7 linked regions of the Oryzias latipes genome follow. The main gene of each other region encodes a partner of the protein of the gene in region 3 in a complex. Links are inferred from orthologs where the notes say so. Each region holds a gene or a part of one and is shown on either strand. Other genes may lie near its edges.

The links.
Region 1: txnl4a (region 3) and lsm3 share a complex: the UniProt entries of both Homo sapiens proteins name them as parts of the precatalytic spliceosome. The link is inferred for Oryzias latipes from reciprocal best matches to the Homo sapiens genes TXNL4A and LSM3.
Region 2: txnl4a (region 3) and snrpd1 share a complex: the UniProt entries of both Homo sapiens proteins name them as parts of the U4/U6-U5 tri-snRNP complex. The link is inferred for Oryzias latipes from reciprocal best matches to the Homo sapiens genes TXNL4A and SNRPD1.
Region 4: txnl4a (region 3) and lsm6 share a complex: the UniProt entries of both Homo sapiens proteins name them as parts of the precatalytic spliceosome. The link is inferred for Oryzias latipes from reciprocal best matches to the Homo sapiens genes TXNL4A and LSM6.
Region 5: txnl4a (region 3) and prpf3 share a complex: the UniProt entries of both Homo sapiens proteins name them as parts of the precatalytic spliceosome. The link is inferred for Oryzias latipes from reciprocal best matches to the Homo sapiens genes TXNL4A and PRPF3.
Region 6: txnl4a (region 3) and lsm4 share a complex: the UniProt entries of both Homo sapiens proteins name them as parts of the precatalytic spliceosome. The link is inferred for Oryzias latipes from reciprocal best matches to the Homo sapiens genes TXNL4A and LSM4.
Region 7: txnl4a (region 3) and prpf31 share a complex: the UniProt entries of both Homo sapiens proteins name them as parts of the U4/U6-U5 tri-snRNP complex. The link is inferred for Oryzias latipes from reciprocal best matches to the Homo sapiens genes TXNL4A and PRPF31.

What each region holds. Positions count from the first base shown.
Region 1 is NC_019863.2:18,333,431-18,337,828, reverse strand, and holds the start of lsm3 (U6 snRNA-associated Sm-like protein LSm3), read right to left. Parts: upstream 2,910-4,398; 5' UTR 2,827-2,909; coding exon 2,806-2,826; intron 34-2,805; coding exon 1-33. UniProt on the Homo sapiens protein: Plays a role in pre-mRNA splicing as component of the U4/U6-U5 tri-snRNP complex that is involved in spliceosome assembly, and as component of the precatalytic spliceosome (spliceosome B complex).
Region 2 is NC_019869.2:22,965,437-22,969,878, forward strand, and holds snrpd1 (small nuclear ribonucleoprotein Sm D1), read right to left. Parts: upstream 2,871-4,442; 5' UTR 2,739-2,870; coding exon 2,725-2,738; intron 1,321-2,724; coding exon 1,244-1,320; intron 1,169-1,243; coding exon 977-1,168; intron 771-976; coding exon 694-770; 3' UTR 122-693; downstream 1-121. UniProt on the Homo sapiens protein: Plays a role in pre-mRNA splicing as a core component of the spliceosomal U1, U2, U4 and U5 small nuclear ribonucleoproteins (snRNPs), the building blocks of the spliceosome.
Region 3 is NC_019869.2:14,391,483-14,395,813, forward strand, and holds txnl4a (thioredoxin-like protein 4A), read left to right. Parts: upstream 1-1,397; 5' UTR 1,398-1,544; intron 1,545-1,737; 5' UTR 1,738-1,743; coding exon 1,744-1,896; intron 1,897-3,177; coding exon 3,178-3,281; intron 3,282-3,362; coding exon 3,363-3,534; 3' UTR 3,535-3,725; downstream 3,726-4,331. UniProt on the Homo sapiens protein: Plays a role in pre-mRNA splicing as component of the U5 snRNP and U4/U6-U5 tri-snRNP complexes that are involved in spliceosome assembly, and as component of the precatalytic spliceosome (spliceosome B complex).
Region 4 is NC_019859.2:18,489,224-18,493,527, reverse strand, and holds the start of lsm6 (U6 snRNA-associated Sm-like protein LSm6), read right to left. Parts: upstream 2,931-4,304; 5' UTR 2,843-2,930; intron 2,426-2,842; 5' UTR 2,416-2,425; coding exon 2,322-2,415; intron 2,202-2,321; coding exon 2,088-2,201; intron 1-2,087. UniProt on the Homo sapiens protein: Plays a role in pre-mRNA splicing as component of the U4/U6-U5 tri-snRNP complex that is involved in spliceosome assembly, and as component of the precatalytic spliceosome (spliceosome B complex).
Region 5 is NC_019874.2:18,946,618-18,951,131, forward strand, and holds the start of prpf3 (U4/U6 small nuclear ribonucleoprotein Prp3), read left to right. Parts: upstream 1-1,520; 5' UTR 1,521-1,696; intron 1,697-2,079; 5' UTR 2,080-2,088; coding exon 2,089-2,233; intron 2,234-4,212; coding exon 4,213-4,343; intron 4,344-4,514. UniProt on the Homo sapiens protein: Plays a role in pre-mRNA splicing as component of the U4/U6-U5 tri-snRNP complex that is involved in spliceosome assembly, and as component of the precatalytic spliceosome (spliceosome B complex).
Region 6 is NC_019862.2:13,834,280-13,838,775, forward strand, and holds the start of lsm4 (U6 snRNA-associated Sm-like protein LSm4), read right to left. Parts: upstream 3,022-4,496; 5' UTR 2,902-3,021; coding exon 2,899-2,901; intron 2,473-2,898; coding exon 2,431-2,472; intron 2,191-2,430; coding exon 2,092-2,190; intron 400-2,091; coding exon 219-399; intron 31-218; coding exon 1-30. UniProt on the Homo sapiens protein: Plays a role in pre-mRNA splicing as component of the U4/U6-U5 tri-snRNP complex that is involved in spliceosome assembly, and as component of the precatalytic spliceosome (spliceosome B complex).
Region 7 is NC_019874.2:19,364,104-19,368,407, forward strand, and holds the start of prpf31 (U4/U6 small nuclear ribonucleoprotein Prp31), read right to left. Parts: upstream 2,981-4,304; 5' UTR 2,808-2,980; intron 2,539-2,807; coding exon 2,326-2,538; intron 2,246-2,325; coding exon 2,185-2,245; intron 2,095-2,184; coding exon 2,011-2,094; intron 1,917-2,010; coding exon 1,819-1,916; intron 1,622-1,818; coding exon 1,515-1,621; intron 1,382-1,514; coding exon 1,212-1,381; intron 1,117-1,211; coding exon 959-1,116; intron 862-958; coding exon 772-861; intron 697-771; coding exon 569-696; intron 118-568; coding exon 45-117; intron 1-44. UniProt on the Homo sapiens protein: Involved in pre-mRNA splicing as component of the spliceosome. Required for the assembly of the U4/U5/U6 tri-snRNP complex, one of the building blocks of the spliceosome.

The sequences.
Region 1 (4,398 bases), on a different chromosome or scaffold from region 3:
AAGCGGCTCCTCGACCGTGTTGGTGGATGGTTGCTTGAGGACACACAGAAAAACAAAACTTCAGTTTAAAGTCTTTGCCGCTGAGAGTCTGCTGAACCAGAATGAAAATACTACTTTTTTTCCCATCTCAACACAATTTGACAACACAGAAATCAACTTGTGATTCACAGTTTTTAATTCAGCAATCAAAATAAAATGTTGAAACATCCAACCTACATTTAAGACACCAAAAACGACTGTTTTGTGACATTTATATATGTTTAATATAAAAGCATTACTAATCTCATGGGTTTCAGCAAAACAAGTGAAGGCAGATTACATGTATTGGCGTTTGGGTAACCTGTGTGAATGTGTTTGAACTGTTAAATTAAGAGTATAGCATTAAAAATAAAAATAAAAGACAAAAAAAAAACATTTTGGTGACTAAAAATTCTAAACCTTGTGATTAGAATGAAAGTCAGTTTGCTTACTAATCTTTTTTTTTTTTTTTTTTTTTTCTAACTTGTTCTGTCCAACTTCTGAGCAAACAGATTAGAGCTGAAGGCTTTTTGTGTTGGACAGGTTTTACTATCACAAAAAGAGGTTATATAGCTTCAAGAAACTAGAGTGTAGATTTGTATAAACCCCTTTTTGTCGTATTATTTTTTATTTATTTGTTACATTTAGTGTGTGTGGGGAGGGAGAGGGGAAGAATGTGAGGGGAGGGTGGAAGAGAGTAAAAGGAAGAAAGGTGAAAAGGTGGGGGATACAAGCACTGATTTGACTAAGTTATTAATTTAAGCTGTAACAATTATACCAGATCTGCTGGAAAGACGAATGTTACATCAAAGGTCAAAATCTGACACTAAGATGAGCGGAAAAAAAACTGTCCATCAATACACTGTAGGTAAGGAGGAGGGATGAAGCAGACAGGGAGCAGTGTGGCAGTGTGCACGTGCACGTGGGGGTGGAGATACATGCATGCTGCCGACGTGAACCGTGTGTTCATAAAGGGAGCCAGATCCTACCCAGCCAGACCAGCCAGACCAGGAGAGGGGAGGAGAGCCCCCCAGGCCAGAAGCCCCCCCAGCATCCGGACCCAGGCAGCCCGGGAGGGGAGGAGGAGGGGACCGCCCACCCCACCAGCCAGGCACAGAGAGGGCCCCCCTACAGGGGCCCCCCCAATGCCCAGAGGCACAAGCGAACCCAGTGTCCGGCCCCCAGGCCACAAGACAGGAGCGCTTAGCCGTACCAGGCGGCAGCCATGGGGGCCACCGGGCGCCGGACACCGAGACAAAGGCCAGGGACGAAGCCAGGGCCCCGGAACCCATGAGCCGGCCACCACCCGACCAGCGCCCCGTCCCCGCAAGCCAGCCCAGGCACGCGACCCTAGCAACCCAGGGATCGCCACGCACCCGCAGCCACAGCCACCCCCCTAAAACCCGACGCACTACAACCCCCCCCCCGCCATAATATCTGACCCCCCCTCCCCAACCCTCTCAGTGCCCTCCCCTCTCTGTGATTGGGAGGGAAAGCCCCAGAGGGTCCCAGCGAGCCAGCCCCCAGGTCGGTCCTACCCATGCACTCACACACACATACTCACAATCATCTGGTTACCCTCCCTACCCCCGCCGCCAAGCAGTAACCCCCCCCCCCCCCCCCCCCCCCCAGCCGGCCAACCCCCAGCGCCGCATGCCCGACCCCTCCCGCAGCCGACAGGACACCCATAAGCCTGGCCGCCCTGAGAGGACCAGGCGGGTGAAGACCGGCCGCCCCCCCCCCCCGACCCCACCCATGTATGGAGGTGTGGGAGTGCTGTGTGTGTGCTGCAGGTAAAATAGGAGGTCACCAGTGTGGGGGGCTCCACCGCTGCCAAGCCGCAAAGCCCCCCACTCCGGAGTCCCTCTGTGAGTGGTGTGTATTTGCTGTGTGTGTGCTGCTAGCATGCAGTGTGTGTGTCTACAGAGGAAGTTAAAATTGTGGGGGGGCCAGCGAAAGGTGAGCACGGATGTTTCACCGTGCCCCCCTCCACCAGACCCTCTCCACAAGGCCCTAGATGAATCAGAGTGTCTAATATGCAAGTAAAAAGCGGGGAGGAGGGCGGGTGCCAACGAGAACCCAGAGAGGGGCATCCCCAGTGAGCCCCGCCAGCATACCCCTCCCATCCAGATCCCGGGGCCCTATGTGCCTGTGTGCAATATTTGTTTGGGTGAGAGCGGGGAGGAGCGGGCGGATGGGCACAACCGGGGGAGAAGGCTCCCCCGAGCGACCGGCCCCCCAGCCGGCCGCGGTAGGCGCCCCCCCCCCTCCCAGAGCGGCCGGCAGCCAGAAACGCCAAGCGTTTCAGAGAGTAGAAACCTCAAATGTAAAGTTTCAGTCCTCGAGGGCAGGTGTCCTAGTCTGCCTGCTGTTGATTAGCAAAACACACCTGAGGTAACCAGAATCAGAAGAAGGCCGTTTAATGAACACAGCAGAATGCATGCCCTCGACGGCTGGAGCTACAGCTGTTGTTTTCCCCACACATTTTACACAAACTTTCCTTCCTGTATAAACTATTTAGCTGCCTGGTTAGCACTAAAGCAATGAACTGTGTTTCAAACCAAACATTTGCGTTCAATTGAAACACAGGAACACCAAGGCTAATAATTCGGCTAACTCGGTTAGCCGCTTCCACGGCCCCAAACAGGTCAAAAACGTTCCTGTAATAACCTTAAAGCACTTTAAAAATAATGCAGCGTGCAGCGCAGTCTGCACTTTTAGAAGCAAAGTGGGCTTCTGTTCGTTCGTTGTAAGGTTAAACATATAATTAGCGAAAGAACCGCTAACCTGCTCAGCTTCGTCCGCCATACTGTTCGAGCATGCGCGCGTCGATTCCGGTACGCAGGTTGCCAGGTCCGGTGAAATTAAGATTTCAAACGGCAACACACACGTGCGTTTCGAATTATCCCTCGATTTCCAGTTCAACAAAGTTGAATTTTATACAAATAATTAGTTTACAATATATATCTATGCGTACTTTGAGAATGTGAAATGTTTATTATTAAAACTTATGGTATCAACATCCATCCTTAAAAGACTAAATTTAAAGTATGTGTAAATCCATACATAGTCCTTACCTAAAATTTAAATACAACACAAACATCTCCTTGTTGCATCCCTGCCACTTTTAAATTGAAACAACTGAAAAGACTAAACTATAAAGAAAAGAAATTCACCTTTCTCTCGACGCGTTGCGTGTATGTTCAAACCTGGCAACGTTATCCAGTACCGTCCTTTAGCGTTTTCCAGAGCTTTCTGTCCTCACAGGACACTGTCGTGTCATCCGCGCAGAGCAGCGAGAAGGTAAATTAATTCATAAATATCTGTTCATTTTGAGGTATTTGTCCTGTCTACACTAATATTCCAGAGCGTTTTGAGTGGTAGTAAAGCTGTTATTGGGAATTCAGTGTCTAACGGGTCTGTTTAGAAATATTCCGTATGCGAAATGTTAATGTAAACGAGAAATGAAATGTAAATAGTTACACATAATGAAGCTTTCCGTTAGTGAGAAAACCGTTAAAATTCTTTTAAGAGAGAATATATTCCTAAAATGTAATCTGCAGTTTATTCAAATATTTATTTTTAATGATTACACTAAATAATTAATCGATTTATTAATTGAAACTAACAGACCAAAAAAGGCTATTTTATGTTCATTGATTACTCTTTTCAAAGTCTTGCATTTAAAGATAAGAAATCGTTTTAATAACAGTCTAAAATTATAATAGGTGGACTTAAAAAGCAGAAAAACGAAATAAATTGCTTTTCAATTATTATTTTTTTTATTAAAAATAACAATTTCTTGTATACAGGATACCAACCAAGTGTTGGAAAATAAAAAGCAAAATGCTATTTAAGTAAAGATAAAATGATGCAGCGGTTGTGATTTATTGCGTCATTATTTTATTTTGGGGAAAAAACTATATTTATTGAACATCACTAGTTTAGACTGGTTAATGTAACTAAATGGGTTGCAGACGTTCTGTTTGTGATGTCATACACAGCCTCTGGTCCTGTGAGGCTGCTATTCTCCGCGTTGTGTTTGTAGGGTTACAGGTGTGCGCCTCCTCTCTTCTCAGGACGATCCAGTTCTTCATACTGGATTTGTCAGTGGGAGGGGAGGCAGATCAGAGCAGTGGTACTGCCCATTCCACCCTCAGCTACATCATGGCTTTGTGATGGAAGAGATCCTGCAACAAGCTCAGACAGCACCGCAAACAGGCTCCACGCTCAGTTCACACTGTTTCCTGTTTATACTGCTCTTCACTGAGAATCAGTGAGAATTTCAGGTGGACTAACACTGTTTTTCTGCTTGCTCAGCAGCTCAGGGCAAATGGGTAATTGGTGAGAAGATGGCTCTGAAGAACAGGAAGAAGCTCT
Region 2 (4,442 bases), about 8.6 Mb from region 3:
ACACATGAAGGTGGGGTGTGTTGCCAATAGAATTTGAGAAAAAATATTAAATTTCAGAAAAATCCAAACAGAGATCTTCAATAACAAACATAAGTTTTTACAATGATGTCAAAATTCAAAGTGGATTTTCTTTATTTTATTGGAAACTTATGTGGGTTAAGAGCCAGCCCATCTAAGTATTGGACAAAAGGTTTTTACATTTGCAGTCATCAACATCCACACCATCCACCAGAGGTGGATCAGCAGTATCTGGAACATCATCAACAATAAGTTGAGATGTAATCAGTTCCAGAAACTGTGAAAAAAAACCTTATCAACCTATTTCAATCACTTATAGGAAAAGTGAAAACTAATCAAGCCAATTAAAGAGCCAAATATTACAAAGAGAAAAAAAAAGATTTATTCTTCTTTGATGCCAGTAGAACAGCTACATTTTCAGCCAACTTTGCCAAAGACACAAGAAGGTATAAAAAAAGCAAAAAACAGATGACATTTTTACCCAGTTTAAATGCTGCTCAGACATTTTATTCAAGATGGTACAAATTATGAATCAACAGCATCCAAAACCCCCTCGCGGTCTTAAACAACCCACGAGTATAAAAAAGAAAAACAACCCTAAACTTACACTTAGATTCACTTTGCGTCCACCGCGCAGTACAATTAAAAGCTGTACAAACAGTTGGGGCTCTGAAATCATCTCCGTGGTCCACCTCGCCCTCGTCCTCTTCCTCTGCCACGGCCCCGTCCTCTGCCTCGCCCCCTACCAGCAACTGAGAACAAGAAAGGCCAGATTCTTTCACCATACTCGTGAAAAAAAAAAGTTTTAATCAGCAGAACAAAACATTTCTCAAAGAAATAAACAGCAGATTTACACACCCATGATGAATATAAATACTGTTGAGGGATTTCTTATCGCAGAAAAATCCTTCTCAACTTAATACAATTTTCCAGGTAAGAATGTGCCCAAATCTCCCACCTGCTTCTCTCTTCTTGGACTTGATCTTTGGTTCAATGTCGACCAGCAAGGTGTCCAGTGGAAGACTGTCTGGCAGGATGAAGTAGCGAATGTTGTTGCCTCGGATACTCAGGGACTCCAGCTGAGTGGGTTCCCTGTTCTTTAGGGTCATTTTCACCGCCTTCAAGTGTGTGTTCATGCTTACATCAACACCTATTAAAAAGAAGAAGAAGAGGATTTTAAAAATGATTTAGTTCATTTATTCGTCTCTAAAGTGTTTGCTCTCACCTGTGATGGTGCCATGGACCTGAGTGCCATTCTTCAGTTCAATGGTAACGGTCTCATGACTGAGCTTCATCAAAAACCTGTGTGGACACGGGAGAGTAGCATACATTTACATTTACTTAACCTTTAAGAGTTGTTTTACTGCACTATACTTTACCAAACATACCATTTTGTAATCAAAAAGCAGTACCAGTATAATGTATCTACACTTCAGGGAAAGAATCATTTTCGCAAAAAAAAAAAAAACATGATTTATTGTCATCCCACATGAAACAAAAAAGGTTCACGTGTTTTATTCTTACTCAAAAGTGTATTTTTCAAAAACCTAGAATTGGCACATTCATTTTGGTTTTCTGAATCCAAAAGGCACTTTCATTTAAACGTCAATGTTTTAAAGTGACAATACCATGAAAAAAAATACACTAATAACATGCTGACCTTTAAGCAGAACTAGAACAGGAAAATGTTAATCAATAATTGATTGGTGGACTTTAACAAATTAAAAGCATCATTTTTATGTCTGTTCATATTCACAAAATACAAATGAAATAAACAAAATGTCAAACATAAAAAAAACGAGGGAAATAAACATACTGTGATATGCACCATTTCATACAAAAACTGCATTTGATCCCATACATACTGGATAAAATGGAAGACTTTAAACTCCATTTTCAGATTCACATTTTTTAATGTTTTGTATGAACATTTATGCGGACTTTTTGTTAGAAATAATTGTTGGTAACGTTTTCTGTTAATCATAAAAATATTTTGATAAATTAAATACAATAAAAAACCGCTTTATTAGAAGGTTGGCACCATTGCTGTAGAAGACTTTAATGACTAGATCCATCTTGAATGATCAATTAGCCAACTTACTGCTTTGCACAAAGAAGACGTCTCTCTCTCACAAACATTAGACAGCATTTTTGTACAACACATAAGATTTAACGTATAAAATTGTACAAAATACCCCCCCCCCCCTTTTTGAATGTATTTTTTTTTTAGTATCTAAACAAAACTCGTGTTAGCTCTTAGCTTGTTAGCTTCGGTGGATTGATACTGTTGTGTAAACTGAAAACAAAACATTTGTCTCTTAAGTTGTGGAAATTAAAAACATCCAAAAATAAATACAATTAAATAATGATAAAGCACTTTGAGGAAACGGAAACAACATCTAATAAATTAACCTCCTTTAGTACGATAGTTTTAATAATGCGGGGGGAAATTTGCAAAACCATAAATGATAACGAATCAGCCTCGATCTTTTACAAATATTGCTAAAACAAGCAGTTTAATCCTTGATTAAATAGTTAGCTCTAATGATATGTTTATATGTATTTTTTGAATGAAAACCCAGCAGCCTTGTTCCCGCCTCTCCACACAGTTCATTTGTCTATCTGAACCCATCCGGCCACACAGCCTTTATTTCATCATCCTATCTTAAACCAGTCGACACATCTACAGACCATGCAGCAAATTACCTGACTAGTTTCATGACGAACAGTAGAGAAAAGATCCTCCACCGACGAGAAAAATTACAGCGATCGAGTGAAATCACAGGCCGCTGATGTACCACCAACGTTTGTGTCGCGTTGATATGACGTCAGAAAGAGGCCACCGCTCACCGTCAATGTTGTCTTACCGCCGCCTGGTGGTGAGATGAAGAACAGTCAGTGGAAAGACAAAAATGAGTTGTTTTCTCTTACTCATTGGGTTGGTGGCATCTAATATTCCTTTACTGTCTTTATTTAATTACTTACCAATTACTTTAATTATTAACTGTTTTTCTATGTGTTTTATTGTTTTTTCCATCTAATGCTGTTTTTTTCCCCTCTCAATCTACTCAATTTTAAATGTTATGTTAATGTAAGCCCTTTGGCACCCTGATGCCATTGTATGGTGCTAAAAAATAAAGTACCAGTCATTTATTCATAGATTTCTATTTATGTATTTGGCATTTAAAATTATTAATGGAAATGCCATTTAACAGAGAAACTTTTTTCTTAAATTTTGTTCTTATTGGCCCTTTTTTTGAAGCAACAAAAACAAAACATCTCTGAGAGAACTGCTTCAACTACGAATACTGTTCTGTTTTTATTTATGATCAAAAAATTGTCATAGGAATTTATTCAGGCATTGTTTGCAGTACCGTGAAAAAAGAGAACACAGCACACTGTGGTTCACATTCAGCCAATCATAATTGACCCGATTTGGTAGAAGTAGGCTTTGTGATTGGGTGTCTTCATGTTGGCATCACATGTACATAAAAAGGCAAAGACAGTAAAGACAGAAAAGAAAAAAAAATAACGATTTACTTCCTGATTGATTTCATTTTTTTACCTTTTCACCAACTTGCTCGTATTTAAGGTTATCGATTGATAGAGCTGTTACTTCCAGTACTTGATCAATTTTCAATACGTAACTGTATCCTTTACATCCTTACAAAATACACAAAAAGCTGGGAACCATTGATCTAGGAAAGAAGACAAAAAGAACAAAGGAGCAAACTTTCAGATCTTTTTATTGAGAGTAAACTTTGCATTGATATTTCATTTAGAGTTTTGGCCAAACAGCAATACTTTTTATTTATTGAGACAAGCTGGGAATGTATCAAGTGAAACCTAAAGAAAGTGCAAATTGTTGTATTTAAAAAAAAAGAAAAAAGAAGGTATTTGTGGAGGGAGGATTTAATCAAACAGTGTGGAGAACAAATGCCACCACAACATTCACCATCAGTCCAAACGTGAAAATGCTGAAAAACCCCCAAACATGTCCTCTGCATGCTGCCTGATGAGTGTAGCACGACTGCAAAAAAACAAAAATACAAACTTCCCATTCAGGGATAATAAATGCTGTATAATAAAAAAGAAAAACACACACCAGTACAGTTCATTGAATGAAATCATGGGCAACACATCTGGCTTCAAACTCAAACCACCACCCATTTACTACAGTAGAAGAAATTCAACACCAACTTAACTCCCTTAAATTAATATTCCTCTCATTCCAGCACCAAATCGCCTCCTACCTAAAGGCAGTGATTCAGCCCCCTGTAAACATTGTGGGTGAGTATTAAGATGTGAAGATCTACAACGTTGAAGGACTGTTAGAAGTCAAAGGTCAGGTGGTTTATAGTGTGAAAATGTCCTTCAAAAGCAGCTTCAGGATTGCTTCAAAGTCAGATCAACCGTTTATCTTA
Region 3 (4,331 bases):
CTTTGGAGATATTTCTGCGTGGACTGTGACTTTCAAAGAAACAAAGGTGGAGTTGTTTGTCTTCATGACAAACGTGAATGTTCCTCAAGCCGCCTTTTGGCCTCAAAAGGATGCAACCTTGAGTCTGATCCAAAATGTTATGAAGACCTGGGTGTTTTGCAGAGGAGTTGTAAATCTTAAAATGGTGAAAGGGGGTTTGAGCGCTATGTGACTGCTGAGAGACTTGACCAGACGGCTGATTTTGTGCAATATGAAAAACAGCCAAAACAAATTTAAAACAGTCTTTATCAGCTTTAAAGAGTGAATGCAGTGTTTGACGATAGTCCGGAAGCTGACTATCACTGTTGTTTGTAAAACAATCATGTGTCCTACATAAGATCGTGTAACATAGTTGGATTTTATGAATCATGTGTCCATTTAAAACCACAGAGATGTGACTGTGTAGCTTAAAGGGGAAATTAAAATGATGTATCTAATGATAATTGAACTCTCTTTAGGAGTGCCATAATGTGCTGCTATGTTAAAGACTGGAAAGTTTTCCTATAACCTTTGAACTGTGTTCGTTCTTTCTGTTTGTACTGTAATGAATTGCACAATAAATTTTTTATCTGTGTTTTTTCCTGCTTAAAACCGTTTCCTGTATCTCTGCCTACTTTCAAACGGAAGTAACACTCGTTTCAAGGAGCAACAAGAGAATAAAACATTGAAAATACAAAGGTAAATCATTATTGGGGGTTTTGATTTTACAAGTTATTTTTTTGCGTCAAAATCGTTTTTACTTACTGAATCTTAATGAACTATACTGTGCAGCTACTTGTCTTTTGAAAATTGTGCAAGCAGTAGTCCATAAACATTTGTTTTTCACTTGTGGTGCATGTACACATGCATCCCTAACAGGAAGCTATTATTTCTACCCATAAAAGGTTAGAGGAACAAGGGCATCCAAAAATTGATCATATGGGATGATTTTTCTTTTGGGGTTTTAATTACATTAAACGTGAAAATGCTTTGTCTATCAATTCTTCCTTGAAAATGTGGCAACGTAGAATAAATCTTATTCATCCTACAAAGAGGGGAAAAATGATCTACATAAAGAAATATATAAGGGGTGATGTTGTGTTAAGAAGTATACATTTTTCTACTTTCCTTTATCTTTCCGAATGTAGTGTTTCATTTTCTTGTTAAATTTGACATTTTAACCTAAATCTTTCTTTTAATAACTGGTTTCGCATAGCCTGCTTTCGATTTAAAGCCTTCCATGTAGTTTTTATTAAATTGTTCACTTTTGTCAACATCAGTTAAAGTAATACTAGATTTGTCATAAAATAGGACAAAAAGGAACAAAAAATAATACGTTTTCTCTGAATAGGTTTGTGGGATGTTGACGTAGACATTTTGCGACGACGTCGCGAGTTTGTGACGTTGTTAGGAACGAGCTCTAGATGCTGAAGATAGATTTTTTTTTCTTTATTGAGAGAACAAAGTAATTTTATCTAAGCAGAAATCTAATTTTATTTCATTATACTTAGTTTTGCTAATTCAAGGTAAGGTTCTTTCGTTCATGTTTGTGGTTCCGCATCTTCTAAAGTTTCGCTGTCATGATTTCTAGATTTTTCTTCAGCTAGCTTAGCATTAGCATTCATCAACCTCCTCTTCTCCGCGGTTATTTAACACTTTAAGATAACATTATCATTCAGAATTTTGGGTCGGGGGCGGTCTCGGATTCTCCATCTTTAGGTCAAGATGTCGTACATGCTACCGCATCTCCATAACGGCTGGCAGGTGGACCAGGCCATTCTGTCTGAGGAAGACCGAGTTCTGGTGATCCGCTTCGGACACGACTGGGACCCAACGTGTATGAAGATGGATGAAGTTCTTTATAGTATCGCTGAAAAGGTTTGATCAGCTTCTTATGTGCACCATAATTTCTATGGAAAAATAAAAGGGCTCGTCTGGTTACAGTATTAAAAGGGAAAATTATTTGCACCTTCCTTTGGTCCCCAAATCCCCCTGCTTTTGACTGTTAACAAGTTTGATAATAAATGCATAACATGAGAAAATATTCAATGGGTAAGGAAAGCTTAGCAGTTAGAGAAAACAGTTTGAATGTCTGCAGTCATCCTTTAAAGATTTCATTTAAGGATTTAACCCTCTTCTCTGGTTAGTTGCTGAAAGAAGGATCATACCTGAAGATTTAACTGAATCACAGGTTACAGTAAGACGACGGCAGTTTGTGACAAACCCCACTGCACCAACATACATAGGGTTTACAGAGAAATGGCGTTTTGGAGAAACATTCATACGAAAAACATCACCACAACAGCCAAAAAGCTCCAGATAAAACAGGAATTTCCTGATTCTTAATTGACGAATCGATTTCTTTTCCTATGAACCTACCAGATCCATCTGTCTGAGGCAAGTAGCTCATCAAATCAGCCTCTACCATTTTAAAATACTTTCAAAAGGAGATAAATCGATAATAGAATTGAAATTGGAAAATACAATTAGGATTGAGACATGGTAGGTTTATTTTACTGTAATGTAATAACGACCAATTGCATCACGGTGGACAACACACATGTGAGGTCAGCAAAAACTGATCAACCATCATAACAGTCCAATGTGTGGAAACAATATGAATTTAGCAAAGACGTGACCAGACAGTGTGGTAGAATGTTGTAATATTGTTCCCTTAGGATTCTTTGGATGTGGAAAAACAACAGTGGACTGAACTTTAGGAAACTAAAATGTGAATGGATTTGACTTTCATTCTGGTTTACTTGTTTGTTTGTACACATATTAATTTAAACTTGATTATCTTGAAGAAATATAAGGAATCTGGAAAACGTCACCTGTACTGTTCAGTATCCAGGTATTCATCTCTGAGTCACACTGGTTGAAGTTTTGGATAAAGATGTTCTGGATCGATCTTAGGCCAGAGAATCAGATCGTTCAAAATAAACAAATATCGATTATGAATCTGATCAGCAGCCACAAATTATGATATGAATTGAATCGTTAAAATGAAGTTTTAGTTTTTAATGTTCCTCTAAATCTTATTGACTGTTTTGGAGATTAATTTCTGTTCCTTAACCTTCATTAAAGTCACAGCTTTGGTTTCAGCAATCAAAGTCCAGATCCTTGTTGTTCTAGTAACCGCCACCTTTGTCTTCTCAGGTGAAGAACTTTGCAGTCATTTACCTGGTAGACATCACAGAAGTGCCCGACTTTAACAAGATGTACGAGTTGTACGATCCTTGCACCGTCATGTTCTTCTTCAGGTGAGGAACCCTCATCACTGGAACACAGGTCCTCATATCATATATGATGTCCAACGCTCCTGCCTTTGGTTTGTTTTCCAGGAACAAACACATCATGATTGACTTGGGAACTGGAAACAACAACAAGATCAACTGGCCCATGGAGGACAAACAGGAGATGATTGACATTGTAGAAACGGTGTATCGAGGAGCCAGAAAAGGACGGGGTCTGGTTGTTTCTCCCAAGGATTATTCTACTAAATACAGATACTGATTCTCACTTTTTTTAAACCATTTTTTACCCTTTTTGTGTATTTTTGTTTTGTTGATGACAAACAGAAGAAACTCTGCTTTTCCAGCAAAGGAGGACGATATTCCAGCTACTGGTCTCATTGTTTTCTCATCAGTTTTATTCAGTTTTGAAGCTTGTTTGAATTTTTGTGAATAAAAGTGTCAACAATCTTACGTTTGATTATTAAAATAAACTTGACTTTCATGTAAATATATTTAGGAAATTTTCTCAAATGTTTGAGTTTGTTTTGAAACTTTACAGCATTAAATCATTTTGCTATGGCAGTTAAAGACGTCACAGGAAGTGCAGTGACTCACAGCGGCTGTTGATACTTACTAGAGATTATGTCTAAATCAAATCAACTTCCAGTTTTGTTTTTTTGGGTGCACTTGCCAGAGTTGTCCGGTAGGTGGCATCATAGCAGTTCCACGTATGCACCAGTCTCCAGCATCACATGCAAATGCTCCTTCCTGCCGTGGCCTGGGGCAGTATTGGGACACGGCCCATCAAACAGACTTATGTGACACTTTTGTGTTGCTATAGAGATCATCTGTGGAACAAAGAACAGGAAATGACCTTAAAAGAACTTTATTTCATGATAGGACTTTTCCCCAAAAAACGGGGATCTTTGTGCTGTCAAACTAATTACAAATAGTCTGAATTAGAAACGAATGAATTAGATATCAGTTGTTGGAAGGCTTAATTTCGAGGAACTTTGTTTAACTATTTTCTGTGAAAACTGAGATGTTCTCATTTAGGATGATTGATTTCAACACAAA
Region 4 (4,304 bases), on a different chromosome or scaffold from region 3:
TAAGGCTCACTCATTCTTTTTTTTTCTTATACTGAAAAATATTTTGTTGTGGAAATCAGACAATGTTGAATGTTCCCTATCCATATTTTATGTTACCAAAATAAAAGCACTCTGAATTTGCCTGGGTAAAAGCAACTTGTATATGAGATACAGTTGCAGTGCTCAACATTGTGATCATTAAATGGAATTTGACCATTTTTTTACAATGAAAGACATATTGAAATTAAGTCAGATATTTTTCTAAGTCATTTTCTTTTTAAAAAAGAAAGAAAATGTGCTCCGGTACTATATAAGGATACGCATCGTATCGTCAGACTCTTGCCAATACACACCTCTAGTGCTTAGGCTGTCTCTGCAGATGAAGTAGTAACATTGGTATTGCCCTTATATAATTTTTTTGGATTTTTGTGTTGTCCACACATAGGAATAAAGTGTGTTTCTTTAGAAAATAAAAGGACAAAAAAGAGAAAGCTTACATCATTATGTAAGGTTTCCTTGATTGTGTTGTGTCAGAATATGCTAGGCTAGCTCTCCATTAGTGGTTAACATTTCAAACAAATTTCAAATATTCCCCAAACACAGATTTTGTGTACCTAAAGATGAAATCTCACAGCAGATGGTATAAGTTAGTGAAAGAATTTACATTTTTAAAGGTAAAGTGAAATTATTTACTGCAGTTTTAGAAATGCCATTTACAGATGTATCCAAAGTCTTTTTTTTAATATATTTTCCATATGCAAAAGAAAAAACTCAGATAAACTGGGAAGGTGATAGTTTTACCTTTTAAGACCCGAGCTAATATTTGAGATAACCCTCTACACATAGTCACAGGGCCCCAGTTAAGCAAAATTAACAACTGTGGTAATATGTGATGTTCGCACATGTGGACATCAGGTCTTAAGAGGTTAAAGATATTTTAGCCAGCCCATTCTATTCGTTTGCCTCCTAAACAATCTGCATCTGATCGTTTTTGTGTCACACCTATAGATCATCCTGCTTCGTACTGCCTTAAACCTTTAAAAATTTGTGTCATTACTGTCCATTTGGTTAAACCAATATAAATCAATCATGCACTTAAAATTGTTAAGATTCATTTCTATCACTTTGAAACGTTCCTATTAGCAAAATTGTCAACTTTTTTCTAATACTCCCCAAATAGTTTTTTGTTGGTTTAAGACATGGGTAGGCAACCTGCGGCTCCGGAGCCGCTTTCATCCCTGTGCTGCGACTGTCTGTATTTTTGTAAAATACCTATCATGTTCTAAGATTGTTGTAGAGCCTTTAACACCGTCGGGTAGCGCGAGCGGTCAGGAGGAAGAGCGCAGCGTGAGCACGCGGAGGGGGCGTGTCTGCACATGTGAATACTGACCAGAGTCTGGTATGGGATGGAAAGTTCTTCTATAAAGACAGTCAGCGGTAATCTCGTAGGGGCACAAGATCAAGGTTGTGTAAAATGGACAAAAGATCAAAGGAAACATAAGGCTCATAAATAATTAAAATAAATAATTAAATAAATATCCTGACAGCATTTTGAATCAATACAAGTATTGTCAAATGAACTATTGCGACATTTCAAAAGCAAAACGCTTTATTTCTAACACCCCTTGTGTTGCGGTTCCCTGTGCTTTCATTTCTGTGGGAAACGGCTCCAAATGACTCTTTGAGTGGTAAAGGTTGCCGACCCCTGGTTTAAGACATGCATTAAATCTATTTGATTAGGCTACTTTTACCTAATCATTTCTGCAAAGAAACAACTCCAAACCACATCTCTCTACCATAGTCACCTAAACTTGACCAATAATTCCAATTTCTTTAAATGAGTTCTTAGGCATGCCTTATGCAATGTAAATATTTTCACCATATTTGCATGTTTCAGACATACATCGCTGTATTTAAAAATAAATTAAAACTATGATGAATAGGTCAAATATCATTAACCAATGATTTTGGGTTATTTAACTGACTATGCATACCTACTATTCAGTGTAAAGTTAAAACATATAATCTAAAGGCATACCCCCTTGACTAACGTCATTATGTGCAGAAGGCTTAATCAGTATTTTTATTGTAAAAATGTAACCTCTTACCATTGTTTCCTCTCAGAAAGGCATCCCCATACTTGTTCTTGAGCTGTCCATTAACATACTCTTCTGTCTGTTCAATGGCGATGTTCATGTAACCATCCAGACAGGCCAGAACACCTGCATAAGTTATAGCAAACAGGAACAAAGTTTTGGTTAAAGTCTCATTCCTTAACAGACATTTAGAAATAACAATAAAGGAGAACCGTGCGGCTGAGCCTGGCACGCCAGGTGTTTTACCTCTGTAATCCACACCAGAGTTTAGTTTGACCACCACTGGTCTACCAATTATCTGCTTAAGGAAGTCACTCGGCGTTTGTTTTCTCATACTCATCTTGCTTGATCTGAAAAATAAAGGTTTTTGTATATTAGCCTTTTAGTTTCTTGTGCTAGCATCGCCATCGTCCTCCATGATTAGTTTTATGTTTAATAGCGTGGATTTAATACATAAAAAACGATGTTTTATTTCCGCTAAAATACCACATAAAAAGCCCAACTCTCATTTTTTCCAACCACGTGCTGAACTACAGAAATAAGCATCAATGAACAAATTAAATCACTGAGCAAGCGGGAGACGTTAGCTGCTACTGCTAGCGTAGCTAACCATCTGGCTACTGACGGGGTTAACTGTCTAATGTCTGTAGAGATAATGCCGGAGGTTCTTTAAGATTTTCTAAACAATTGTATCTGCAATGTAAATAGGCTAAACGCATGTTTGCTTTACAAGCAGAGGTAAATGGCTTGGTTTACATTCCACTCACCTGCTATTACGTCTAGCAAACGACTGTTTTCAACGACACCCGCGAACTACCCAATCATATACGTGCAGTCTATGGTAGCCGGCCGTTGTCAAAAATATCGAAATCGCATTAAGTAGCAAACGCGCTAAATTTAGAAAATCTGTTAATAATAATAATAATAATAATAATAATAATAATAATAATAATAATAATAATAATAATAATAATAATAATAATAATAATAATAATAATAATAATAATAATAATAATAGAACTGTTTACTGTTTTCAAACCATTAAACTCTTAACCGGCTTTTTTCTAAAGCAGGACACATGTCAAGACATTACATTCTAATTTAAGTCCTGTAAAATAAAATAAAAAGTTCAAAACTACTTTTTTTTATGTCAACACCGGTTGGATCAATTCACAATTTTTTATCCCAGAACTGAAGAGTTTAGCATATTACGTTTTTGCTGCATGTTGCACCAGTTGCTATTCATTGGCAAAGAGAGCAATAATTAGTAAGGGTTGTTTATAGGCAAATGTTAGGACTTAGAATAAGGCAGTCAGAGGAAGTTATTATTGAGACCTGAAATGTCAAGTCACATGCCTGTTTCAGCTGAAGAAACATTTAGTACCTTTGGACAATCTGTAAAGGCTTGAATCTGCAGAATAAACCTGTTAGACGGACAATGTTACAACCTAACTGGATGTTCTATGGCTTCAGCAATTAAACAGTGAGAAAAAAAAAACAAGTGAGCAATTGATCGAGCTCACTTATGTTTAATAAGCTGAGAAGGCCACCAGGAGAAATCCAGTTAGAGCTGGATGCATTCTTTTGCTGGGATGCTTTTAACATTTATTCACATAGTTTGGATTTAAACAAGTCCTAAACTGTGTCAGAGATACACAACTCACAAAGGGCAGAGCAAAGCATTTGATTAATCATCATTAGCTGCACTAAAATCAAGACAAATTAAAATTTGGAACAGTAGAAAACTTCATCAGCCAGCAAAACAACGCCAAGAATGAATGCCACACAGAAGACCGTGGAACAAGCAGAACATGCAAAGAACTGCAAACATTGTTGGATTCAGTTGAGGTCAAAGCGCATGATATTTTACACTTTCTGATTGTGACAATGTATTTGTGAAAACCTATCAGACAAGAAAAATAGAAATGCTAAGATTAAGTATTTGTTGTGTATAAAAGAAGTTTAAGTAGTTACAAAGTTTATACGGACAACATTTGGAGTAAGTTCAGTGATGAGGCAATCAAAACCACTACTTTATTGTTTTTGATGTTCTCACTGGAATGTCTATGAATAAAAACATCAAGGAAAGTTTAAAGTAATATCTAACACACTAAGTTTGACTGTTTTATATATGAAATATGGCGATCCGTTTTTGGACAAAGAACTTCCGCTTTTGCTAGGTCATGAAGATCAGCAATCTTGAAACTCTAAAAATCATTTCTAAAATAA
Region 5 (4,514 bases), on a different chromosome or scaffold from region 3:
TACCATCATTTTTGTCCAGCCCTATTTCATTAGGTTTTTTTTTTTAATAATTCTGTCAATCAACAACTCAGAAGTAATGGCTGATTTTGATTATTTAATTTTCAATTAATTTGAATTTATAATTTTATTGTTACTTTTGAACGTTTAAAGTCATTTCAGTGAGCCTTGTGGACTTTCTTTCTTTAACTGAGGGATACCAACAGTTTTGTCCACCACTATTTTAAAGGTTCATTGGGACAATTATTTTAATGTATTACATTTTTCTAGTAAGTGTAAATAGCTTTGCAGAGCATTTTTACAAAAGAAATTGCAATTTGTTAGCACTGACATGGATTATTATACAGAGAAGAGCCACTGTGTGGTAGCCTCAGGCTCACCACTGCTCATTCAGGCTCGCTCTACTACAAATGCACTCAGTTGACCCACATCACGCAAACCAATAGACACCCAGGGGCGGATCTGGAGTGGAGTGGGAAGGAAAGCACTTGATAAGCCAAAGATTTTTTTTTTTGGGGGGGGGGGGCTTTTTTTTGTAAGTTGACCGAGTATCTAAGTGCAGTGCTTGAGTAATGTTTAACTTAAGACTGAACTTAAGGGTTATGCGTAGCCTAAGCAGAAAATTGTGATTTACCATTCAAAGAAACTTTTCACTTCATGAACAAAAAGATGATGCCACTACATTTTGGAACTGCAATTAAATTTGCCCATGTCTTAAAATGCAAAAATCTCCTATATTGTGGTATTACAGTTTTCTCTTACGTTTGGTTAGATTTTGTTAGCAGTGGTTTAAAAAATGTTTGTGTTTATCTGTGGTAACACAACTACATTTTACTAGGACAGAAATTAAAATGCAAATACTTGCATTGCTCATTTGTATAAATAATAGTTATAATTTTCATAACACACATGCAGAAGAACACTCACAATGCATAATAAACATTGTTTTTATCACTGAAATTACTATTGTAAAATATATTATAAAATGTGCAGTATAAAGTACCTTAAAAAGGTATTCTGCTTACTAAATGCAAGCTACTTATTGAATAGGCTAACGTTTCTCAAGTTTAATTGAAACAAAAAAAGAATATAAAAAAAAAGAAACAAAAAAAAGAATATCAAAAAAAAGAAAGAATATCATGCAATCTGATTGTTTAAGTTTCACTTTGGACTATTTCCTATAAAATATGCCTTATTTAATCAAAAAATGTATGGAAGAAAATATTTGCACATAATTTAACTTTGGCCAGCTAGGCAAATACATTTTCAATCCCTTAACAAGACTTTACAGACAAAACAATTCCTTTGTGTTGTCAGCTGTCAGGTGAATTTCCTTGACTTGCTGAATTTTTGCTAATATTTAATGAACACTTTTAAATATATTATAGAAGCGGTTTTGACTTTTATTTTTTAAAGTGCCTTTATGAAAGCGCATAAACAACTGCAAGAGAAATGACATAGATGGCGAAAATCAAACAAAGCACGGTAAAAAGACTGAGAAGGATAAGTCGAGAAGAAGAATTTACGTCATTTCCTCTTCCGGGTCTCGTGGAAGAAACGTTACATGTACGGAGCGGCTAATCAGAAAGTTTGAAAGAAATGTTCAGGCTTTAGAGATTTGTACCCTTGAAATTAGATTCTTTTTGTGGGTAATTTAGAGTATATCTAAAGTAAAGAGGATTGTAGACAAAACTGAGAGGTTTGTATCCACCTTTAAGCCGCTATTAGCAGATTTCGGTAGCTCCCAAATGTAGCAATATGCTAACGTGTGCTAGCAGCGGTCGATGAGTTTTGGCGCAAGTAGCTAGTAGAGTTTAGCTTGTTTGCTATTTTGGTTAGTCTGGTTATTGATATGTTTTGATATGAAGCAACATTTTGTTAACTTAACTTTCATTTTTTATGACAAAAGGCAAACTTGTCCTCAAATGTGTTCGACATTTTTGACACGCAGGAGGGTCTCTCTGTGTCATGGCTTGTGATTAATAATGCCACTTGTGTAGCTCTCACTCATCAACTTTGTCAACAATAGGACTCCTGTTCCAACAAGAACTAAAAAAGACATCTGCGTGCTGTGTTTTGAAGGGCAGAAGGATGTCTCTTCCCAAGCGGGAGGTGGAGGAGTTGAGACCGTGGGTGGAGCGCACTGTGAAGAAGGTGTTGGGGTTTTCAGAGCCCACGGTGGTCACTGCAGCTTTACACTGTGTGGGGAAAGGATTGGACAAAAGGAAGACCACGGGTAAATTCCATGCTCATTTGCATGAAGAAAGAAGTTTTCAATCATTAGTAATTAATTCTGTTGTGGTTATTTTCATTTTTTTGTTCTGTTTTATTCCATCTTTGATGACACAGTTACTTGTGCATTTCTGAATTTAAGCGTCTCTTATTCATCTTGTTTTGAGGTTGCACATTAAGATAGTCTTATAATATAAAGCAAAAACAAACTCGTAAAAAATTTTAAGAGATTCTTTTGTTTGTCAAATGTTTGGTGCTTTTAGCTTTCCCGTAAACATTTGCTTATGATTACAGTCACTAATGGTCTTAGTCTAATAGTGTTTTTCAACCGTTGTGCCGTGTGATATTACCCATTTTCACTGATCTAAAAACATTTACCAAATCTAGGATATCAGCTCTGTGTTCATCCAAACAGGCCCCAAGAAAGCACTAAGTAGTTGGGAATATGAAAGATCGTAAAATACTTTTTTCTTTGTGTTTATTTGATTCTATTAAAGACATTTTGATAAGGCTGCACGTTGGCACAGTGGTTAGCACTCTTGCCTCACAGCAAGAAGGCCCCCAGTTCAAGTCCCAGCTGGGGGAACCAGAACATCAATGGGGGACCTATCTGTGTGGAGTTTGCATGTTCTCCCCGTACATGCGTGGGTTCTCTCCGGGGCCTCCGGCTTCCTCCCACAGCGACCTCCCACCTGTCCGTTCATACAACTCTAAATTGTCCCTAGGTGTGACTGTGAGAGTGCATGGGTGTGTGACCTGCGACAGACTGGCAACCTGTCCAGGGTGTCCCCTGCCTTCGCCCACAAGTGATGGGCTCCGGCAGCCCGTGATCCCGAAAGGGACAAAACGGAAGAAGATCATGAATGAACGAATGGCGGTACCGCGAGTTAGCCGCAGCTTCAGCTCTGTTTTTGGAAAAGTCCCACCCCTTTAACCCCTCCACCAATCATTCTTGGAGGTTTAATCCTGCGTCAACAGTCTGACCTCTCAGAAGTGGTTAAAGTCATCACTTCCTTGTTCTGATTTAGCTTTTTCCACTACATTTCCCATGATGCATTGGGTTAACGTGACAGCGTCTCAGCGGACGAGTCTTCCCTGTTAAACGTCTTGAAACCACAACAAACACACATCAGTTTTTAAATCTTCTTTATTAAATCAAAGGTCAACAGTTTAGTTTTCTTCAAGGTTTGTGTTTTTTTAATAACATCCAAACATCCCAGAGTTTGGTCCAAGTCATCTTTATTAATGAAACATTTTTCTTATAAGGTCTGTAAGAAATAGGATAATGTTGAAGTGGCCGAGAGACACAATCAAACAGAATTGAAACAATTTAATAATCTAAAAAGAAATAAAACATTTCTGTTAAAGTTTTCAAAGAATTAATCTTTGATTAAGACAAGAGAAAAACTAATAAAACTTCAACATGTTCACTTTTGATGTAGCTACAGAAAACATAAATATGTTAGTTTTGGTGTGTAAAACTTAACAATCATATTGTGATCATATAACTGTTCAAAAATTACAGTTGCCTTTGCACCAACATTGAAAAAAAATTGTAAAAAGTATATTATTTAGAAAGAATGTATTTGTTTTTTTGTGAGGTTACATGAAATTGCATGTTAATAAACTGGAGGGGAAAAAACATCTACCAGGGTAAATTTTCAATTAATTTATTTGAAAGTTATTACGGAAAACTAACTTAACTTTTATTACATCTTTTAGAAAAAACTGCTGCAACTTCCAGCTTTTTTGCCACAATTATCACAAAAATGTCTGTGATTGCGGAGGGACTGTAAATCAATACAGACTATAGAGTTTCTCCTTTTTTTTATTTTTGGATGCTTGTGTGCCGCAGGAATTTTGTCAAGGATAAAGTGTGCCTTGGCTCAAAAGAGGTTGAAAAACACTGGTCTTATATTAAGAAATGATTATCAACGAACTGTTGAATACATTGTTAATCATTTGACTCTTAATTGTCCTCAGACCAGTTGCGTCCCTTCCTCGAAGACTCAGCTGGTGGATTTGTTGAACGTCTTTTTGAAGCTCTTGAGGAAAGTAGAAGCAGCCGTGGCAGCAAAGGATCTGGAGAAAAGAACCGGAAGAGAGAACTTAAGGTAAATTAATGAATAAAAATTAATGATTTAGGCCTGCACAATATATTGCAAATTTATCGTTATTGCGACATCAAGCTGTGCAAATTGCATATCGCAAAGGACTGCAAAAATTGCAATAAATTGTAACCTTAAATGTTATGGTAGCTTGAAGTATTTAATGAATCAAATAAA
Region 6 (4,496 bases), on a different chromosome or scaffold from region 3:
ACATCCCTCTGCCGCGGCTGCCAAACACACCTACATACAGACACAAAAAATGTCAAATTCAGCAAGTTAGAATAATAAATTCCTAAACAAATAAAGATGATGTTTCACCAGATGTGTTTAAAAGCTTTAACAGAGGGATTTTTTACTTATTTTAAGCTGATCTAAGTCTCATTAAGGCAAATCATGACAGAACAAATGCAGAAGTTGCTTCCTCTCACCTCGGCCGGCTCCGCCTCTTCCTTTACCCTGCTGCTTATTCTGCTGGGCACCTCCACGTCCACGACCCTTAGAAACCACCTCATCCTTCACCATGTCAATAATCTCATCTGGAATTCGCAGATACTTGATGGTACTTCCCCTGATGTAGCACTCTGGCATCCTCCAAAACTTATCACCATCCTGTGGGAAAAAGACCAAACGATGAGTGTAACCAGTATACTTCAAAGGGTCTATGCTAAATCCCTTTTTTGAACTTCCCGGTGTATTATAAAGAAACCTCAAACCAGTATTGACCCATTCACGCATTTCTGAGAATTCCTCTAAAAACCTGTGCTCCAGGAACCAGCCACACCTAACCCACAAAAACAAGCGGGTTCTCACGAGCTGATGTAGATAAGTGAGAACAGCCCCTTCCAGGAAGAGTCTGCGCTGCCAGCCCCGCCCCCAGGCTAAAACACACACTCCATGAAGCTAGTGGTGTTTGGCAAAACTCTCTTTACATGCTCAATATGCACATTCATCTTTACGAAAGTTTGAATGTTGTTTGTTTCGTGGGCGAGACACAGACATGTTGTTGATGCTGGCTATAGGTTGACATCATGGAAGTGCCGGTGCCTCAGATCCAGTCGTCTTGCTTCCAGGTTGGAAAATAACTCAGGAAAATAACTAATATTCATTCATCATTTTTTAATTCATCTTCTAAACCCGCTTTGTCCCTTTTGGGGTCACTGGGCTGCCGGGGCCTATCCCAGCTACTCATGGGTGAAGGCAGGGGGCTTCCTGGACAGGACACCAGTCTGTCACAGGTCCACAAATCACTCACCCATGCACACTTGCATTCACACTTATGGACAATTTAAGGTAACCAATTAACCTACGAAGGTGGGAGTCCCCGGAGAAAACCCACGTATGCACGGGGAGAACATGCAAACTCCACACAGACAGGTTCTTTTTCAGGTCCCCCAGCCAAGTCTTGGACCTGGCTGGGCTTGCAGTTGGCTGGGGGACCAACAGCAACCAAGTCCCCAAAACTTGGCTGGGGGATCTTGCGCTAACCACTGCGCCACGTAACTAATATTTAATTTAAAAAATCTTTCTTTTGTGGGCCAAAGGTAATATATATATGGATATTCTTTACCATGAATGGTTTAGGAATAGCATGGTACAGGGCCTTTAACAATAATCAGTCCTTTTTCTTCTAACAAAAAAAATTAGCGTTGAGGTTTTTGTTCCAACATGTATCAAAGGATGTTTTACTAAAACCATTGCTTCATTATACATTAGTCTTTATATTTTAAAGGCTCACTTCAATTATCTTTTGATCTATTCCCAGTATTTTGATTTTGTTTTTTTTCATTATGCAGCTTTAAGCCAAAATGAAAAACTTGTCTTGTTTTCTAGGACAGTTTCTGCAGAGTGACAGAAGTTCATTAGAAATATACCTAAAAAAGCCTGCCGCATTTTCCAAGGTCCCTTTGTTTCCACTCTCCTGCTAGCTTACACACCCTCATACCCCCAATCTAACACCAAGTGCAAGAAAATTGGTGGGGAATGTTGAAGCTATACAGACGTACAGTTTAAAGCCAGATGCCAGCTCAGACGAGGAAAACCAAGACGTAAATGGATCTAATTGCCTACAAACTTTCTTTATATATGTCCGTCATTATGAGAAAAATGCCACAAAACATGTTAAAAACCAAACCAAACAAATACACTATTTTAATTGGGGTGGGTCTTTAAACGGCTAAGGTAGTCAGAATGAAAACTGAAGGAAACAGGTAAGCGACTGTTAAATTTAAGCTAATTTTTTTTATTTAAGGTGTGCAGTTTATGGATCGTTCTCCACTGAGAACATGAGAGCAAATCTGTTACCCTGGATGTGCAGATGACTTCTCTCAAGTTGATGTTCATCCAGTTGTCACAGCTAACCAGATGACCGTTGTAGGTTTCTCCATTCTTCAGTTCAACCAGCTGAAAAAAATCAAAGTTCATTGAAAAAAAGGTCAGCTGGTGATTATGGTTTTCTAAAAGGTTCTTTCTTTATTCAAAAAGAAATGCACAAAAATTATTGTTTAAAGAAAAACATGCAAACAATCTCAATAACAAAACAAAAAACCTGATCTTAAAACCACAAGTAACTGAATAAAATGGTTTAACCAGTAATCACCAGATAAGGAATAGAAGGAGGAAAGAAAAGCAATTATTTCTTACCATAGGATGGTTCTGGGCCGTCTTCAAAAGGGACAAGGGAAGCTGCGAAATAGTAGAAATGGGTCCGATTTATGATCTCTATGATATATTAAAATAATGCATTCTAAAAGGAATATTGATTCAGAAATGAAGAACACGTCTGAATGTATTTCTGTGTCGGCGGAGAAACTTAAGCTCTGTTCCGAACTATAATGATTCGTTTGTGTTTAGTTTAGTACTAAACGTGTATCTGAAATGGTGACCCCCCCCCCTTATATATTTATATAGAAAATAATTTTAAAAAGAACCACTTGTATAGTCAGCGTTCCACAAGCAGAAAACAATTTAGCATTGGTTGCTAGCGTAGCTTAGCCTTGATTTGCGATGTTTAAACCAGTTACATGGGATTTTTGAAGCCAAAGAACAGGTCAGTATTTTTATATAGTGTGTGATTTTTACAAAATAGTCCATTTGTAAGTAATAACTTACCATTCTGGTAGGTTATGTTTGTGCTGCCTTAGATTAGCAACACGATTTTTACTCGCAGACTCTTCTTCGTTTTCTACGTACTCGGTGCCACGTCTTATTAAAACATGACTGCCCCCTAGCGCAAAACATGCGCAAACACAGGAGCATTTTCTTTTGTTCTTTTACTGTGACGAAATTCAAAAATAAATACAGAGGACCAAGTGTAACATCTATCTATCAAACACAGGAGCATTTTCTTTTGTTCTTTTACTGTGACGAAATTCAAAAATAAATACAGAGGACCAAGTGTAACATCTATCTATCTATCTATCTATCTATCTATCTATCTATCTATCTATCTATCTATCTATCTATCTATCTATCTATCTATCTATCTATCTATCTATCTATCTATCTATCTATCTATCTATCTATCTATCTATCTATCTATCTATCTATCTATCTATCTATCTATCTATCTATCTATCTATCTATCTATCTATCTATCTATCTATCTATCTATCTATCTATCTATCTATCTATCTATCTATCCATCCATCTATCTATCCATCCATCCATCCATCCATCCATCCATCCATCCATCCATCCATCCATCCATCCATCCATCCATCCATCTATCTATCTATCTATCTATCTATCTATCTATCTATCTATCTATCTATCTATCTATCTATCTATCTATCTATCTATCTATCTATCTATCTATCTATCTATCTATCTATCTATCTATCTATCTATCTATCTATCTATCTATCTATCTATACACAAACATTTCCTTCAAAGCATAAAACCGCTTAATAATATCTTATAGCAAAATCCTGTGTCTCAAATTTCAGATTGTACCATTGCTGATTAGTTCGCATTAGGTATGAGTGTCTAGACTAAACATAATACAGTAATTTTTTCTTCATTTTCAGTGAAATGCATTTTTATTCCTTAAATTAGTACAGAATAAAATTAAAAAAAATAATGATGATAAAATGAGGATAATAGAGAAGAAAGAGAAGAATAATATTGAATAGATCACTGCCACAACTCCTTGTATTATAAAAAAGGAAAAGCTGGAATTTTGTTGCGTGTACATGTGACACAGTGACAATAAAATAAGTCTATTCTATTCTATTCTGTTCTATTCTATTTTATGATTAAGGTCTGTCTGGTTTTGGTAAAGTCTAAATAAATGTGACAGTGGTTTAAAAAATAATAATTTTTTTCATTACCAAATGGATTCATGTAATTGAATTACGTGAATCCTTATATAATTTGACCAACACGTTCATATTTTTGCTGGTGCAATTTTTGCAACAACTAATTTATAGCTTGGTACTTAATTAAAGTCTTATTTTATGATAAAACACAGGCAAGACAATTGGTTGTATTAAAATAGGATATTTGTGTAGTTTTTATTTATTTATTTTTTCTTTTTGTTTTTTCCCTAAGTTGACATTTCTCAGCCACCGTAGCCGTCATTCCGTTGATGGCGTCATTACGTTGGGTTTGACGCAGCGTGCAGGATGAGAGAGAACGGCAGGTTTCTTTTGATTGTGGGAGAAGGAGTCGTCAGCTGTGAGGGTCTCCGGCTGTTTAAGAGGATCTGT
Region 7 (4,304 bases), on a different chromosome or scaffold from region 3:
CTAAGAAAAGTAAATATCAAGCTGCTTTAAGACAATCCACAAACCTCTGCAAAGGTCATTCTGTTGGCATGTTTCCTGATCTCAGTCAGCCCCAGGCGCTCTTTCATTTTTCGATACCTACAGAACAAACATAAAGGGCAGCTCAAACCAAAGCATTGACTAATAAACACATTCAATATCTCTTTCACTAAAACATTACATCTGTGATAAATTCAACATTTGTCACAATTATGCAGATTAATTGATTGTACTGCAGTTTAAGATATTACAAAATACTTCAAAGTAAACTAATTGGACAAAAATGAACTGAGTAGGGCTGTCCAAATAATTGTATTTCTCCATTTAGTTAGTTCTTTGTTAGACAAAAGTATTTCTATATCAAAGATGTTTAAAACAACAATTACATTGCAGCATATTTTTAAAAGAACTCTGGCAAAAGAGCAGTTTTTGAGAATTATAAAATTCCTTAAATAGTTTTGAAGCCATTGACTATATTTATAATACAAACAGAGGTTTTGATGAATTTACAGGCAATTCTATCAAATACTAATAACCATAAGTGACTGACCTCCTTCCTCCTCTCTTCTTTCTCTGTCCGTCCAGCGGGGCTGGCAGTGGTTTGACCTGCTTCACTGGTGGAGGTTCCTGCCATTTATCAAACTTTCTCTCTATTTCTTCTTTTAGGTCATAGCCAACCTGCATTACAAAGGGAGTTGAATAACAGAGACAGAAATTATATTTCTGAATGTTCCTTTAATTTGAGATGTTTACCTTTCCATCTGGACTCTCGTGGAAACTGTCTACTCGAGAAGCCAGAGTGCATTTCGCGGCCACCAGACGAGCTGCCTTCCTCCTAAGGTCCTGAGGGGGGAGAACAAAAGGGGAAAGGAGATAACTAAGGCAAACAAACATTAGATGTGGAAAAGGTACTTGTTATTCTTGAATATGGTGTACTGACAGGAGGCAATGACTGCACAACATCACAGTGGTAGATGTAGCCCGTGTGAGGAAGCAGCGATGTGCTACTGAAGCCTGACAGAGTTTTCCTTTGGGCTCCCAGCAGCATCAAGTTGCAGGCTGGCATCTTTGAGAGGTTTGTTAGGCCTCCAGCAATGCCTTCAGCCAAACAGGGAAAAAAATTCAAAAGTAAGAAAAAAAAATGTATGGGCATAAAAAAACTTGATATTTTCTAGATAGTTTCACTTCCTCACCCATGATCTTTGCTGCAGTCGATGCTCCCACAATGATTGACAGGTTTGGAGCTATAAAGGACATTCTGGACTCTACATATTCATATATCCTGTGTTTTGACTGGTTGAGCTCCAGAGCCATGTCACAAGCCTCCTCAAGCTGCTTCAGCTCATCTTCCGTTAGCAATGACCTTAAGAGGAAAACAATAAAATATATAAAGGGAGTGTCTATGTAAATAAAATAAACAACAGACATAATAATGGAAATGTTAAAAAAAAAAGTTTATTGTAATAGGACACAAGTACCAACATTCTTAAACTTACCCCTGTGTAGTTGATGCAGTGACACTGACGACCATAATGGTGGCATTGGTTAGAATTTGCTGCAGGGTTTCATTGTTTTTACATTTCTCCAGGTTGTTTCCCAATTCCTTTATACGAAGCACACATTTACAACAAAAAAAGGGGGAAGATTTAGAGGTTAGATGCAAAAAGAAAAAAACAAACCTATGCAGAATAATGGAAACCATTCAGCAAATCTTTTCTTTTAATAGAAGAAAAACAAAATCAAAAATTTGATATCCGGTAACTTCAACGTCTCCAAACTTATCTTTTAAGATCAACAAACCTTGACTGTGCGAATGTAATCTAAAGAATCTGGAACCAAAGACTCAAGCTCTGGAAATCTCTTGGAGTATTTGTCCCTTGTAAACTTGTGAATGATGTCTGAAAAGACAGGAGAAACACAGACCTCACACTTTCAGTTGAAAGAATCCAATTTCTTCATTAGGTTTTGTCGCACAATAAAAGTCCAACTCACTAAGCTCATTGTCAATTTCAACTGTAAGATTGTTGGCTGCAACAATCAGCCTGTATTCTGGGTCAGCCTCAACTGGTCCTGAAACTGAAAGAAAATACAGGTAAACAGGAGAAAAAGAAATGGAAGTAAATCAGTAACATTTTCTGTTAAAATGCACATTTTTTCAACACTCACCATCTGAATTCTTGCGCTGTTTTCCAATATATCCAGATATTTTTTCAATTATATCTGAAAACTGAAAACAAGCAGTTAAAAGGGACTGCCTTCAGGTAGTGAAAAAAAGGAACTCTTTATGAGAGTCAGCTAAACAAAGACCTGTTTGCTATTGCGGAGCTTGGCGATAGACGTAATGCTGTCAGTTTTACTGTAGTCCACCTCCATCTCTTCGGGGATATCTTCCAGTCTTTCTGTCCTCCCTGAAGCCCCCTCTCCATCACTCCCTCCTTCCTCCCCCTCTGGGTACAGCCCATCTTCCCCCTCATCTCCAGCTTCCTCCAGGTCAGCCAGAAGCTCGTCAGCCAATGACATCTGCAATCAGAGTAAAATTCATGATCCATCTTCTAACAATGCATCTTTCAGCTTAAACGAGAGTAAAAGTGTGGGCAGTTGTTAAATTTGTGTTTATTGCAATTATTTTCAAAAGGAAGTAGATCTAACGAAAGTCTATCAGTGTTATTTTTTATAAACATCCCGTTGAAAAAAACAAAAACTGATATCAGTCTGCTATTCTGTGTTAGCTAGCTAAAGTTAGCAAACGTTCACCAAACGTCATTCAACACTGAAAAATAGTAACTTACGTCGCACTTTCAAAATGAAGTAAAACAAAACAAAAATATATTTATATTTTTTTAAAAGTCACTTTAGACAGGAAGGGTTCTAATAGAAGCCAATATAGGTAATGCTACTTGTGCGGCTTCTTGCTCCTGTTTACAACATAAAGCTCACGATCCGGGTGGTTTGTCGCAGAATAAATACGTCACGATTTCCGCATGGGATTATGGGTAAGTATCCCCTTTCCTTAAGAGATGAGAAAATAACATACGGGCTTCTTTCTAAAAATGAATGTTCGGTCTTTATGAGTTTACTTGGTTGCTTTAATTACCTTCTCTTAAAAAATGTGTAGTAGGTCGCAACTAAATACATATTTATTCGAATAAGGAGTTACATTTCAGGCCACAAAATAAAAACACAGGTTTTTTTCTAGTATTCCGAAAATGACTTTACTATAACTCTTCTTTTATTTGTAGTTCTTAAAATATTGTTTTAAAAATATTTTTCTATTCTTAATTTATTTTATATTATTTATTAGACCCTTAAAAGCTACCTGTACATAATAGGAAGAGAAGTTAAAAAAACAACAACAAATAACTAAATAAATGACTAGTAAGTTTCTGTGACAAACTGTTAAAAAAAACGTATTCAAAAGTGATGGGACAAAGTAAGAACTTAAAAACTTTACATTTTATATTTAAATTGCGTTTTAAAATATTTACACACAAAATATAATACATACATGGCAGCAAAGTACCAGTCTTGCATTCAGGAAACTAGAGTTTGGTTAACTTTTTTTTTTTTTTTTTTTTACAACAATTTTAATAAATTATGATACTTCACCATAGCACACAAAAACTTTATAGAAATAAGACAATTACCTTTACAATCAAAATTTCATTCACAAAACAATGGGCCACAAATTCTTTATCAATGGACGTTTATGCTTTGACCAATTGTGGTTTCCCACTTTATTAGACTTATATTTATTAACTGTTCTATTTTATACATTTTATTCTGTAACTGACTTCTGCTTTCAGTAGAACATATTTAAATATTACTTCTAATTGACACAATATAGGGACTCAGAAAGGACCCTGCCCTTGCAACAAATTGGTGAGGTATTTGAACGAATGAACAATGACTGGGACATGACCCGTATTGGATAAGAGGCTCACATTTTGTAGTTTTTATTGTACATCCTCCCCTTTGAAACCCAGTTTTTAAACAATACAATTTTAAACCAACATTTAAACAGACTAAACAAATGGACTAGTTGGACCTCAGCTGCATGATTGATGGCTATTAGTAGAAAATGAAATAAATTAACAAATACACAAGCAAATGGTCTTATTTACTGATGAGCAACTGTTCTGTCATGCTAAGCTACATAAACGGTCATTAAACAAGATAAAGAATGACAAGACTGCTAATAATATAAACATGAAAATAAGGAAACATTACAAGACATAATTCAGTACAGTACAGATTGGCAAGTATTAACAAGTAAAATTATACAAAAT